2 linked regions of the Lytechinus pictus genome follow. The protein of the gene in region 2 interacts with the protein of the main gene of each other region in a biochemical or structural test. Links are inferred from orthologs where the notes say so. Each region holds a gene or a part of one and is shown on either strand. Other genes may lie near its edges.

The links.
Region 1: the proteins of unconventional myosin-VI-like (region 2) and tax1-binding protein 1 homolog form a complex in vitro, tested with the Homo sapiens proteins (5 studies listed by BioGRID, with this or other methods). The link is inferred for Lytechinus pictus from reciprocal best matches to the Homo sapiens genes MYO6 and TAX1BP1.

Annotation. Positions count from the first base shown.
Region 1 is NC_087247.1:54,054,269-54,061,274, reverse strand, and holds the start of tax1-binding protein 1 homolog, read left to right. Parts: upstream 1-3,961; 5' UTR 3,962-4,124; intron 4,125-7,006.
Region 2 is NC_087248.1:24,456,550-24,463,487, reverse strand, and holds the start of unconventional myosin-VI-like, read left to right. Parts: upstream 1-3,826; 5' UTR 3,827-4,095; intron 4,096-6,938. UniProt on the Homo sapiens protein: Myosins are actin-based motor molecules with ATPase activity. Unconventional myosins serve in intracellular movements. Myosin 6 is a reverse-direction motor protein that moves towards the minus-end of actin filaments.

The DNA of each region.
Region 1 (7,006 bases), on a different chromosome or scaffold from region 2:
GTGGGCAGTGCTCGCTCAAGCATGAATAGTTTTCCAACTTTTTGGTGTCACTTGAAAGTTGACTTTATTGGCTTTCCATATCTATAAGTTATTTCCCCCAAAGTGTTATATTTTTTATTTGGCAGCCATTTCAAAAGTGTATAGTTTTTTGGGGGGACGCACTGTATATATGCCCTAAGCCACTAATCTTTCATAAATTGATGAAAAATATAGTTCTTATATGTATAATATAATATAATATAAAATAATATAATATAATATAATGTAATATAAAATAATATAATATAATATGATGTAATATAAAATAATATAATATAATATAACATAATATAATATAATATAATATAACATATATGTTATAAGATACAATGATTTCTTCTTCCCCACTGCGTTTCTCTTTCTTTCTCCTTTTTTTCCCTTTCCCCGTTTTTTTTTTTTTTTTGCTTTTTTTTTTGCCAGCCGATGGGGGGGGGGGGGCACGTGCCCCCCATGCCCCCCCCCCCGTAATTACGCCACTGTCTATATCTGTCAATAAATTATTATCTCTTGCCCTCCTATCAAGTTCTTTATACTAAGTTACAGTTTCTTTAATTATTTATTCCCCCTCCCCGTGGGTCAGGTGCCGTGGGTCCAGTCATATAATTGCTGTGCACATGTGTGACCAAAAGAAACGTGTTTAAAGGGGGTGTTTTTTCAGTTTTGGACGCGGCCACGCGTGTACTCGTTTTAAGGGTATCAAAAACACCGATTTTCAAGACAAGGGGTGGTTTTGAAAGACTGGTCAATATTATTGTCATTCGCGCATAATGGTTAGTTCAAGGAGATATCACTCTAACTATCTCCTTGGTTAGTTTCGGTCCTGTTCGCTCGTATAGCAGACGATGCTAGGCCTGCTAGTTTATACTATACGTACGCAGACCCTTTTGCAAATCAAAATCAATTCTGGACTAGATAATAATAAATATTTGCTTTCCCAAACTGTAGTTATATTATAATCAGTAGGCAAAACTTTATAGTACAAAATTAATTTGAGTTGGACTGTATTAATTGTTTCAAATCGAAAGGGTCTCTACAACGCAAAATGCCATGTTGTGTCTGCTCGATCTCAAAGTTCTGAGAAAAACGAAATGTAACCATATGATGATTATACCAATCACAAAGTATTATATACCAACATGTAGGTAATCTATCTAGCATTGAGATGACAATAAATTTCGACTTTTTTATCCTTATAATTTAGGGACATTTCAGTGGAAAAACAAAGGTGCCAGTGTCTCGAAACTATGGGTGGTTTCGGACCGTTTGTCATATAACAAGAGTTGTGAAAATGGACAATTCCAAATGAATAGCGAGACGTTAAATGGTGAATTAATAATTGTAATAATATTTACATGAAATTGATGGAAGTAAATGAAATTTTCATAATCAATATCAATTTGGTGTGATTATGGCCCGGATTTTTGAAATATTACTCTCGTGAAAACGACTGTTCCCTGATATGAAGCTTTGTGTGTGGACTCGGACTTTCGGACACTCAAATGCAGGCGACTAACCATGGGGGCCAAACATATTTAGGGTATAATATGTTTTTTTCCAAAGCTTTTTTTTAAAGACTAACCAAACGTGTTTAGAGTATGTTTTCCCCGGGGTCATAGGCCTATTCTGGCGACAACTTTTATGGGCCAAAAAAAAAACTCGTTTAGGGGGTGTTTAGAAATAATTTGGTCACTCATCACGGTGTACATTAATATTTTTAATGCGCCCCCGGGCCTCTAGCTATATAGCTCTCTCTCTTCCCTTATTTCTCCCTCCCTTTTCCTTCTTTCTTCTCAAAGGCTCGCTCTGGTCCCTTAATTATTTTCTTTCACATCTCCATTTCCCTAAGCTTCTCCTTTTCACTATCAATTTAATCTCCCTTTAGTGTGGAGGGGAGGGCGGATGGGACGAAGACCCATTCACCCCCCCCCACACTCCCATCTTCACACTAGATCGACCCTCGCAACTGATTCTTGGAACAACTCAACAACAATAACTGATAACACAGAGACAAAAGTTTTCGGTCTAGGATTTTTTATTTGTATTTTGTGTGCATGATATTTTGGCTGCAGGACAGATGATCCCCTTATCATTTTTTTTTCAACGGTGCACTTGCACGAACATCGTGAGAACTTCGCACGAATACTCGATCGGGACTCGATGGGGGTGTCGTCAGTAGCGTAGCTACGGGGGGGGGGGGCTTGGGGGCACGTACCCCCCTGATATTTGGTGTGCCCCCAGGTGCCCCCCTGAAAAAAATTGGCGGAGCCAAAAAAAAGGAGAAAGAAGAAAAGAAAAAAAAAAAAGAAGGAGAAAGACAGAAAGACAGAAAGAAAAAAGAAGAGGAAAATAAGAGGAGGAAGACGAGTGAATAAAATAATGTGAGGGGAAGACTTGCAAAAAAAAAACCAAATCTTTCATGTTACTATACAAAAATTTGGCTTGCGATTCGCGCCATATATGGAGCTTAAAATATCAAGTTTTGAAGCCTTAACAACTTCCACGCTGTCAATACACATATTAGATTAACAAATAAGAAAAAAACATTTTCATGAATTCCTAATAACTAACTTGGGTCTTTTCAGAACGGAATATCGACAAGCTTAGGAATACTAGGAAGATATTCATAATTTTCATATGATGACAAAATGTCCTTAGAATGTACCAGTCCTTTGTTGAAATAATAACAAAATACTCAGATCAAATGTTTTCAGCTTGTGCTTGCATTATTGATCTTCATGATTAAACAAATGTAATCAGAATGCCCAGATTCTAGGTCTAAATCTAATACATGCGCGATAGCCTGCATGTTCTTTATTTAAAATGTGCTTAAATTATCCAGTTTCAGATCAGAATATCAATAATTGTCCGCTCACGCTTCATGATCACATTATTAATGATACCCAATTAACCATGTATTCATGATTTACATAATATTAATAGAGTGTCCCGCGCTTTTAGATCTAAAATCTCAATTTTCTCCCTCTCGCGCTTCGCGCTCGCATCAATTGTTTAGTTACATACCTATCCCATTTATGATTACAAAAGGTGCTTAGAATGACCATTTATGAGGTCGCCTTTGTCAATTTTTTTAGCTCGCGCTACGTGCTCCCATTGTTGAAATATATACCGTCTTCGCGCTATAGGCCTACTGTAAACAGTCATAACAGGTCCCTTTTCGATCATGCTAGAACAGTTCGCGCTTGGCGTTCGCAGTAATTATCTAGTTACATACGCATCTTGTTCAGGTTCACAAATTACATTGCCCAGAACTAAATTTTCAGGACAAAATACATGAAAGTTTAACAAAAAATTACTCGCGCTTCGCGCTCGCACTTTTTATAAAGGGCTTATGAGATTATTTCATATTTATGTTGGTTTTATAAAAATAATTAAAGCTAAGAAGTGACTGATCGGGGAAAATATAGGTGAAGATAATTTTGGGCCCGTCCCCTATTGGCGAAAGTCGGATCCGCCCTAGACACATACGGTACACACACACGTACACACAAACAGAAAAAATGTTGCCCCCCCCCCCCCGGAAAAAAATCCTAGCTACGCCACTGGGTGTCGTCAACGAGAGATTCGGAGGAAAAAGTTCTCCGAATTTGTATTTTGCAATAATACTTTCGACATTTGCATCTTGGACCTACAATGTTCGCATAGACCCATGCATGAACCAGCTCTATGCATGCAAGCTGTTGAGTGTTGGAATTCCCCATTTCAGTATGACATCTAGTCTATAAACAGGAAAGTTTATGAAAAATTATAGATCTAAAGATAAATCAGCTTACTTAGGCAAATTGTAATTGTGATTCAATCAATACTATAAAAAAAGGCTTTAAATTTGACGACGAAGAAATTAGTGGAATTATTTCATAATTTACGATTGACTTATTTATTTGTGTCTTTTTTTTCCTAATAGACTTGATAAAGACTATAGGTCAACCCAGAGGGCATGTTTCGTCATATGTTATTTTCACAACAAAAGTGTTGAGCAGATATACAGATCGGTCAGAAGCGTCGAACATCTACGGAAATTAGTACGATATTGCACGAAGTAGGAAATGCAGACGTGGATTAAAAAAGTAAGCCGTTTTGTATTTTGTGAGTTCATTTGATTTGGTGAGGTTGAGGCCTGACAATGACGGTCTGAATGAGCTCAGAGTCAGAGTCAGACCTGAATTGTCAGAGTCAGACTCTGACTCTGTAATATTCCCGTTTGGTGGTTGTTCCGCTGAATTGAACTGCGTTGGCTCCACTCGACTCACAAATAAATAGTGAGCTTGGAAGATGGAGGCCCGTACTATTTAGCAGTATCCAGTAACGTTAGACATGTTAGTTCTAACATTCGGCGGAAATCCGATTTTAGGATTTTTTTTTTTTACTTTTTAGTAACATAGACCTAGGGCCTACCGGTAACATTTCAGAAATTGTTAAATAAATCCCTAGAAACGATGGTTATTCCTGTTTAAATTGAGAGTAGGGAGTTCGACTTCGATGACTTTTTGAAATCTTGAAGAATCCCAACAAATTTGATATCATTGGAAAGCTTGTGAAATAAGAAAAATAACGGTGCTTCATTTAACTCATTGTCTGATAGTGATATATTGACGGAGATATTCCAATTTACAGGGGAAAATATGCAGATTTTGTTCTGTCAAAAAAAATATTAAACTAGCTTTTTTGAGTGGGGGAGACAGTTGCTTTTTGAAATCTTGAAGGAATCCCAACAAATTTGGTACCATTGGAAAGCTTGTGAAATAAGAAAAAGAATGGTACATAAATCAACTCATGATGTCAAATATTGACAGAGATATTTCTGTTTAAACTAGCCAGGCGGCTTCTAGAGAGAAAAATCATTTACTAACGTAAGGTTACTCTCATACGAAGCCAGGGAGTCCTCCTTATTCATCTGCGTGTACCGCAAAAAACCCTGAAACTTTCGCCCCCGAGATTTCTACTTTCCTTCTAAAAGATCTAGCTCTAAATCATGTACATGGGATAAAACTTCATTTCCGACATTTCTACACTCTCGTTGTTATTTTTAAACAAGAATTCATCAAAAAAAATGAAAAAATATTGTGAAAAGACGGAAGAGACTTGCCCGATGTTTACGCCGCCATCTTGTTTCTTATTGTACTTCCCCAACATTACGCGACGCTCGCGTCCGTGCTCAGACCCTTGAACAAAATATGCAAATCAACTAACAGGCAATGCAAGCGCGAAGATTTTATACATGTATCTGTCTGTTTGTCCGTCCGTCCGTTAACTTTTCCTTGTAAACGCGATAACTTCAGTTTCACTTATTCTAGGTTCATATAATTTTGTGTGTATGATACTAGCATGGATCCCAGGAAGCCTATTGATTTTGAGGTCAAAAGGTCAAGGTCACAGTGACATATTTTCATCCAACCCTTCTGCATTCCTTGTAAACACAATAACTTCAGTCTAACTTAACCTAGGCTCATATAATTTAGTGTGTATGATGCTAGCATGAATCCCAGGAAGCCTATTGATTTTAAGGTAAAAAGGTCAAGGTCACACTGACATGTTTTCATCTTACCCTGCTGCAGTCCTTGTAAATGTGATAACTTCAGTTTAACTTAACCTAGGCTCATATAATTTTATGTGTATGATACTAGCATGGATCCCAGGAAGCCTATTGATTTTGAGGTCAAAAGGTCAAGGTCACACTGACATATTTTCATCTTGCCCTTCTGAAGTCCTTGTAAATGCGATAACTTGAGATTAACGTAACCTAGGCTCATATAATTTTGTGTGTATGATACTAGCATGGATCCCAGGAAGCCTATTGATTTTGAGGTCAAAAGGTCAAGGTCACACTGACATATTTTCATCTTGCCCTTCTGAAGTCCTTGTAAATTGCGATAACTTGAGATTAACGTAACCTAGGCTCATATAATTTTGTTTGTATGGTATTCGAGCATCGATCCCAGGAAGCCTATTGATTTTGAGGTCAAAAGGTCAAGATCACAGTGACATGTTTTCATCTTACCCTTTTGAAGTCCTTGTTACCGCGATAACTTTAGTTGAACTTAACCTAGGCTCATATAATTTAGTGTGTATGATACTAGCAATTCTATTGATTCTGAGGTCAGGAGGTCAAAGGTGAAGTCACCATCTTCCACTCTTCTTGCTTGACCAATACATGTAGCTCCATTTTCTGCATAACAGACGGGCGTATTATGTGCTCGCCTTAGCGACACTCTTGTTAGTGCATGAAATACAAATTTGGGTTTGAATCTATAAATAAAGCCCTTGAACTGCTTATTTTTTATTCTAAGGAATTCTGATCAAATGCATATAAAATTTAAAAAAAGTCAGTATAAAATGGTTTTTATGTTTTTTTTATATTATGTACAGTTTTTTTTTTTTAATGGAAATTATTGGCAATAATTTTCCATTCATTATCAAAAAGTACAAATAAAGATACAGATTCATATTGGCTTTATACATGAAATCACGTTTTTCAGCAAATCGGGGTCTGACATGCACTTGTTTAATATCATAACCGCGTACCCATGCATACACCCCTTTATGGCGTGGCCCTGTCATATTTATGGACTTATCATAGAAATTTTTAAGGGGGCCGTTAAGGTCCCCTGGGATCGTTTTACTACTTTTCTTCATCTTTGAGAGGTCCAAAGTTTCACCTGCTTTTGTGTGTACCTCAAGAGTACGATGTCAGTTCTAGATATTTGTAAAATATTAATAATTATTATGCTTACAAGTGCAACACTTCCATTTCATTCAAGTGCTACTATTACATGTAGGCCTACGTATATTTGAGCTTATTTTAATCAGTGTTTCTTTCTTTCCCTGTCCAAAAGTGAGCATAACACTCAGACACGTTTGTTAAAATGGGAATATTCTTAATATGGATTGATGTGCACAATTGAACAGGGAGGAAAGGAACATGACAAAGAGATGGAGAAAGGGAGAATCA
Region 2 (6,938 bases):
TCGGCATTTTGTTCAGTAAATTCTACTCTATGTATTAAGATATAGATATTTTCAGCCCGGACCATCCCTTTAACAGTAAGTTACATCTGATAGCTGGATAGACTCAATATTTTCAGTGAAATACCTTGGGAATTCACCAGCGAACCCCGGGGGGGCCACTTACATTGACGAGTGGATACCATGCGCGACCAAAAAAACACGTAAAAAGGATGTCTTTTTCACGATAGGGCACGTTACGTACGTAACGTGATAAGGGTGTCAAAAACACAAAAATAATGAAAAAATGGTATCTATTTCGCTAGGAAAATTACGTGTTTAGGGTCGAATTTGCGGGGATGATAAAACAAAATTAAAATGTTTTATAAAGGATGTCCTTTTTGCCCCAACACTTCGTGTTTAGAGTCCGATTCGCACGAGGCGTAGAAGGTGGGGTCGTACTAAACCAAATAAGGTAAAGCCGACGACCGAAAGACCCGTAACAATAAAACATTCCTGTACTTGTTTAGGGGTTCATTTCAGTGAATATTTGCCAAGGGTATCGTTTTGTTTCCAATACTTGATAAGGGTAGGGTTTCACACGCCAATACTTGTTAAGGGGTGAATTTTCAGAATATGGAAATTATGTGTTTAGGGTGCTTTTCGAGACCCCATGGTCGCGCATGGTATCCACTCGTGAATGGACGTGCCCCCCCCCCCGGGCAGCGAACTCAACATCAATTAAGGGAATGATGTGGAAGCGGAACAGCTGAATCAGTCTTGCGATGCATAATTTTGTTTCCAATAGGGTCCTGAATAGAAAAGCACATTTTGTAGAAATGTATACCAAAAAGCACATAAAAATCGAAACATTACAATAAATCTCATTAAAATGGCAAAAATAATCAAATGGATAAAAAGAATATGCATATTCATGAAGTAGAAGAGAGAGAGAAAGAAGAGAAGATGTCAATGAGGAGGAGTGGAAAGGGAAGAAGGAGAAATGAAAAAGAAAAGGAACTTAATTCGGAGGAGGGGAAGGGGGTAAGAAAGATAAAAGACAAAATAAAAAGAAGTAGAATAAATAAACTAAGAGAGGGGAGAATAAAGAATTTCAAAAATAAAAGAAAAAGAAATAAAAGGAAAATATGGAGAAGGGAATAATAAAATAAGAAGAAGAGGAAGGAGGAGGAGAAGAAGAGGGCTGAAAGTATAAGATCAATTAGGAGGAGGAAAAGAAGAAAATTTAGAAAAAGAAGATGAAGGAAAATATCAAGGAGGGGAAGAAGAAAATAAACAGATAGTACCTAACTTGTTAGAGTAGCTATATAAGTAATCTTAAAATGTGCAAAATTTCTTATTGCTTTAATGTGATAGGGAAAGAGTTCCAGTATTTTATCGCATCATTACACACTGATAACAGTTCTTAAAAATCCTTTTTCATATCAGGATATAACCTCAGCTCATGCTTCGCGTTCCCATTACATGAGACAGGATGGGGGCCGGGGCAGTCCTCCTACGCATACATTCGTAATTCCGAAACTTCGTTATTCCGAAGGTTCGGATATTCCAAAGGTTCGTTATTCCGAAGGTTCGTATTTCCGAAGGTTCGTAATTCCGAAGGTTCGTTAGTCCAAAAACGAAATGAGGTTCGTAATTCCGAAGGTTCGTTAGTCCGAAAAAGAAATGAGGTTCGTAATTCCGAAGGTTCGTTAATCCGAAAAAGAAATGAGGTTCGTAATTCCGAAGGTTCGTAAGTCCGAAAACTAAATGATTAACTAACCATATTTCGTTTTCGGACTAACGAACCTTCGGAACAACGAACCTTATTTCGTTTTCGGATTAACGAACCTTCGGAATAACGAATCTTCGGAATAACGCCACAAATGTTCGGATTAACGAACCGGCTTTTACGTTTTCGGATTAACGAACATCGAGGTATAGGTAATTTGCGTGTTTCGGAATTACGAACCTTCGGAATAAAGAACCTTCGGAATTACGAACCTTCGGAATTACGAAGTGTAACCAGTGCGTCTTCCTATATGAACTTTACAAGTTTGTTAAAAGAGTTAAAACACGCAGCTAGTATATTTAACATATTAACAAAGAGCCATGCTTAAAAGACAAGACAGTACACGCAAACAAGAAGTTGGTTTCAATAAAAAGAGAAAATCCAACAAGCTAAACACAAAATCGGATGTAAAAATAAGAAAGTTACGATTTTTTTTAGATCATAATTTCACAAAACGATTGTTATGCACATCTTTGCCGGAATGCAATTAAGGGCGCTGATGACGTCATCATCTCGCTATTTATTTTACATTTTATACGCTATGATTTTTTTTCCTCATTGTCGAGTGAAACAAAGTTTTATTCTTCCAACACGTGTGGGCCTATACCATTATGGATCAGTATACTTGGTCATTAATGTAGGCCTATACATAATTCAAACATTTAAAAAAACAGTAGGCCTATTAGTGATTGACATCATCGACTCTTTCAGATCATTTGCATGTCACTGGGTTGTGCATAAATAACTGTTTTGTGAAGAATAAGCAAAATCAAAATTTCATAACTTTCTTATTTTACATCTGATTTTGATTAATTGTTTAGCGTTATGCATGTGTCATTTTTCTCTAAAGCTGAATCAAATCCACTTCTGCGGGTGGATTTAATTGACCTTTGATTCTATAGTGAACATTAAATCCTGATATTTATAGCACCAAAGTCAAACTATATAAGTTGTTGAAGATCGTGTGGAGTGGAGGGTGGAGGGGGCATGCAGGCCGGTAGGTAGTTGCTTTCCATGTCGACATAATAAGGTTGAAGAATGATAATGTTGAAGAATGAAATAATAATGAAGAATGTTGAAGAATGTTGAAGAAATAATGAATAATATTGAAGAATGAAAAATAAATTGAAAGGTTATTATGTCGACATGGCAAGATCTCGCCAAGTTGATGGCACTTTAAAGGCTCCCTAGTTTCGCTTGATTTCACAAAACAGTTAGGCCTATATAACCTATGCACATAAGGTTGGTATGCAAATGAGGAGAGTGATAGTCATCCACTCACTAGTTCTTTTATATTTCATCATATGAAAATTGAAATATGAAATATTCTAATTTTCTCCAATTGTCAAGTGAAACAGTGACTATTTTCTCCCTGAACATGTGTGGAGTTAGCATTGTTTAATACTATATAATTCGGTCGGCCGTCCCTGTGGTCAAATCTGTATAAAAAAATGAAATATTGTATAGTTCAAATAATAAAACACAAAAGAAATAGTGAGTGGAAGACATCATCGACTGACTCATTTTCATGTCACTGAGCTGTACGTATCACTGTTTTTTCATAAATAAGCGAAACTTTGAACAGCCATAACTTTCTTATTTCATCCGATTTTGATGAAATTTTCAGTGTTTTGCTAGTTTGATTCTTCTCTATTTATTCAAATCAACATTTTGCTGGGATCGATGGACTTGACCTTTAATAGAACAACTGTAAAGTCCATAATATGGTATTAACGTCATTGTATACAATTTTTAAACAGCCCTGCTTTGCTTGTCTCTATTTGGCGTTGTCTTGCATGAATAAGGAACGACCACGCCCATTAATATGATGCCGTCCAAACACCCCGGTCAAAAAACATGTGGACCTACGCAATCCATCACGGAAAAGAAAGATATGTAGGTATTTCACTTTCATGATGATAAAAACAAACACATTAATTAAAGTTTGGGTCATGAATTTCAGGATATAGACAGGCATGGATCATCATGATGTGAATAATAGGTTGAATTATGACTGTATAGGGGTAAATTAAATGGCCCTATATGCATTGCACTTGCCTTTTGAGTTTTTGGACGAAGCGAAAATGACGTCATCGTATTGGTATACCGGAACTCCCTTAGCAAGTTCTTTTCTTCGTCAGCTGTGTAGTACTGGGCTATGCTAACATGCGTGTGTACTACTAGCTGTCTATGGTAAATTACTAAAACTACATTGTCATCGTTGTCACGTTGATTCAGAGGACAAGTTCACAAGTTATTTCTTCCAATAAGAAAGGGACAATATTGTTGCAGTCCTGACACCTTAACAAACTCAATGTTTTTTGCAGGTAGGTAAATCGGGGCGGGTAAATAGTCCAGTCTGACTCAGTCTGACCACTTCGTGTGGCGCTGTAACTGTTAGTACCGGTATAGGCTATATCGGAACAACAGGTGGTGGCTCAAATGCACCACTAACAACGTTAATCATCTATAAGATCGAATGGGGTGTTGCAAGAAACTTGCGGTCAAGCAGTTAATTGCAAATTAGTGATTGATTGCTAATCTGCTCCTTGAAACACGAAATCTAATCTTATTTGTTATAACTGATCTATAATTGCAACAGAATATTGCGATCATGGCGATCGATAGCAAATATTTTCTTGCAACACCCCCTTCTAACAGTAGAGGCGCACGGCCAATAGGGGAGACAATCTCCCACATTGGAGACTTGCTTTGCAAAAGGACAAAAGAAACAACACCAACAAAAGCATGATGTTTCCACCCAAAATTTTGTCTCACTGAGGTCAGAAGCCCATTTGTTTTGTGTGTGATTGACAACAAAAATCCTTATCAAAACAAAAGTAGACGGTGAATTTTTAAAGTAGACAGTGAAAAGGGGCAATTTTTCATGAGGAATCTGCTTATCACATTTTTATTTGCCGCCAAGGTACCGGTAATCCTTTTTCAGCAAATGTAAACAAAGGAAATTGGACTCCAAAACTGGAGACTCTCTGAAATTGGATACCCAAATTCTTTACAAAAGTCTCTGATATTGGAGATAATCTCCCACATTGGAGACAGTCTCCAATATTGGCCGTGCGCCTCTACTGTCTAATAACGTTAATAATAGGCCTACTCTTTCAGTCATTGAACAAGGGTACCCTGTTGGTGTTCATCCTGGTTACTACTACTAGTACTACGTTCTGGTTGGCAATGTGTGGCCCATTTTTACTTACTTACTTGGATTTCCTTGGATGTAGAGATGTAACTAAAGGAAAGCTTGTAGTTGTACTTGTAGTAGCTTATTTGCCCCTCGTCACGTTGGATAGTCTCTGGTAGGGTAAAAACAATTAGTGGATGGTTTTTCCAGTGCCTCTCAATAGCTGATTTGAACATATTGACACTTAATGCAGAAACTGCTTCCTCTGGTAAAGCATTCCAGTTATTTTTACTCCTAATTGAAAATGCATTTTGCCATTTTTGCAATTTGCATCTGTTTTCCTTGATTTCATGCTGTGTGACTGTGACCTCTGGTTCTGCTATGAACATCAATTTCAAAGAAGTTGTTTAGGTCAATTTGATCAAGTCCTTTTGAAATTTTGTATATTTGGATCAGTTCAGCTCTTTGTCTTCTATGTGATAGAGTAGGTAGATTTAAAGCCTTCAGCATTCCAGGATAGTCTAGATGACGGAGATGAGGCAATTAAAATTTAGTCTGGTTACTCTCTGTTGTACTTTTTCAAGTAGATCTTCATCTCGTTTATATACAGGAGCCCATGCAGAGTTGCAATATTCCAGAGTAGGAATTTTTTTCTTGTCCCTATGCCTGTGGATATATATGCCTGATTTTTTTTGTACACTGTCAGTGTCCTGTTTACATGTACTTATACTGTGTTAGATCTAACGTTAACTCACTCATTCAATGAACAAAGTTATGATATATATTAAGCCTGAGTCGAATCGATTTTAACATCGGTGTTCGATCGATGTCATCGAACACCGGTGCAGATTTTGCAAAATCGGTGCATCGAAGAAAAAAAAATACGTCGGCCGGCCGCGGATTCGTGTGTTTCACACAATCAGTCATCAAAATATCAGTAATGTCCAACTTGATTACTACTTACTTGATTTCTATTGCCCCCAAAATGAAACCGATTGTGTAATTTATGATGCCTAGTATTCACCATTAATTTGAAGTTTATTTCGATCATAGTTCGAGTCTTACTCGTCTGCTCGTGCCGAGATAATTTATGCACGGTGAATTCATGAATGGCAGTCATGGCCATCGATTGTGCATGCGCAGTACTGTTCTTTAATCAAACCAGAAAATGGCCGGAAATTGACGCAATCAACGTAAAATAAATCTTGCTTTCATGAACAATATTAATATCATGACCACAGAACATTATTTAATCGTAATATTTAACAATAATTTGCATATGATAATCATTAATATGAATTCAGAGCTTGATGTGAAACGTTCAAGTATTTCTTTCAATTTTCAATGGCGGACATCTCATGACGATCGACTTGAGTCGAGTGAGTGCACTTGTCTAAAAAAAAGAATTATCAGGTCAGGATTGATTCTCGAACATTGTCTACATGCAAAAACTCTTTTCAAAATCGTAAAATCACCATATAATAACATTTTACATGACAAAACAGAGAAAATTGCGTTTGATATTTTTTCCCATCAATTTGAAGCTAGTTTGTGCCCAACTTTTGGCTCTGATTTCATGAATGGAAAATATGTCACACGTCATCAAATAAACACGCATGCGCATTGTGCTTCTTTTCTCGGAGCTCGGAGGAGACGTCGGGGAGGCGTCCAGAGATGGAATAACAATTGAAATATTGCCAGTATTAATTCTTCCATATGAACATAACATACTTTGCTGACATCGTCAATATTCTTAGTATGATCATAAAATCTTGTTAAATCGTAATAATTTATATGAATTTAGGGCTCGATTCGAAACATTCGTATTTATTTTGATCGCACGCTCAATTGTGTCCAAAAAAAAATGGGTTGTCAGTATCACGATTAATTCTCGAACATCGTCAGAACTCATATTCCACAATCTTTCCTCACAATCGTCATATCAGCATTGAATAGCAATTCAAATGACCATCCAGAGAAAATTACGTATTTATTCTCATAAATTTATTTGGAACTCATTTTGGATCCAAC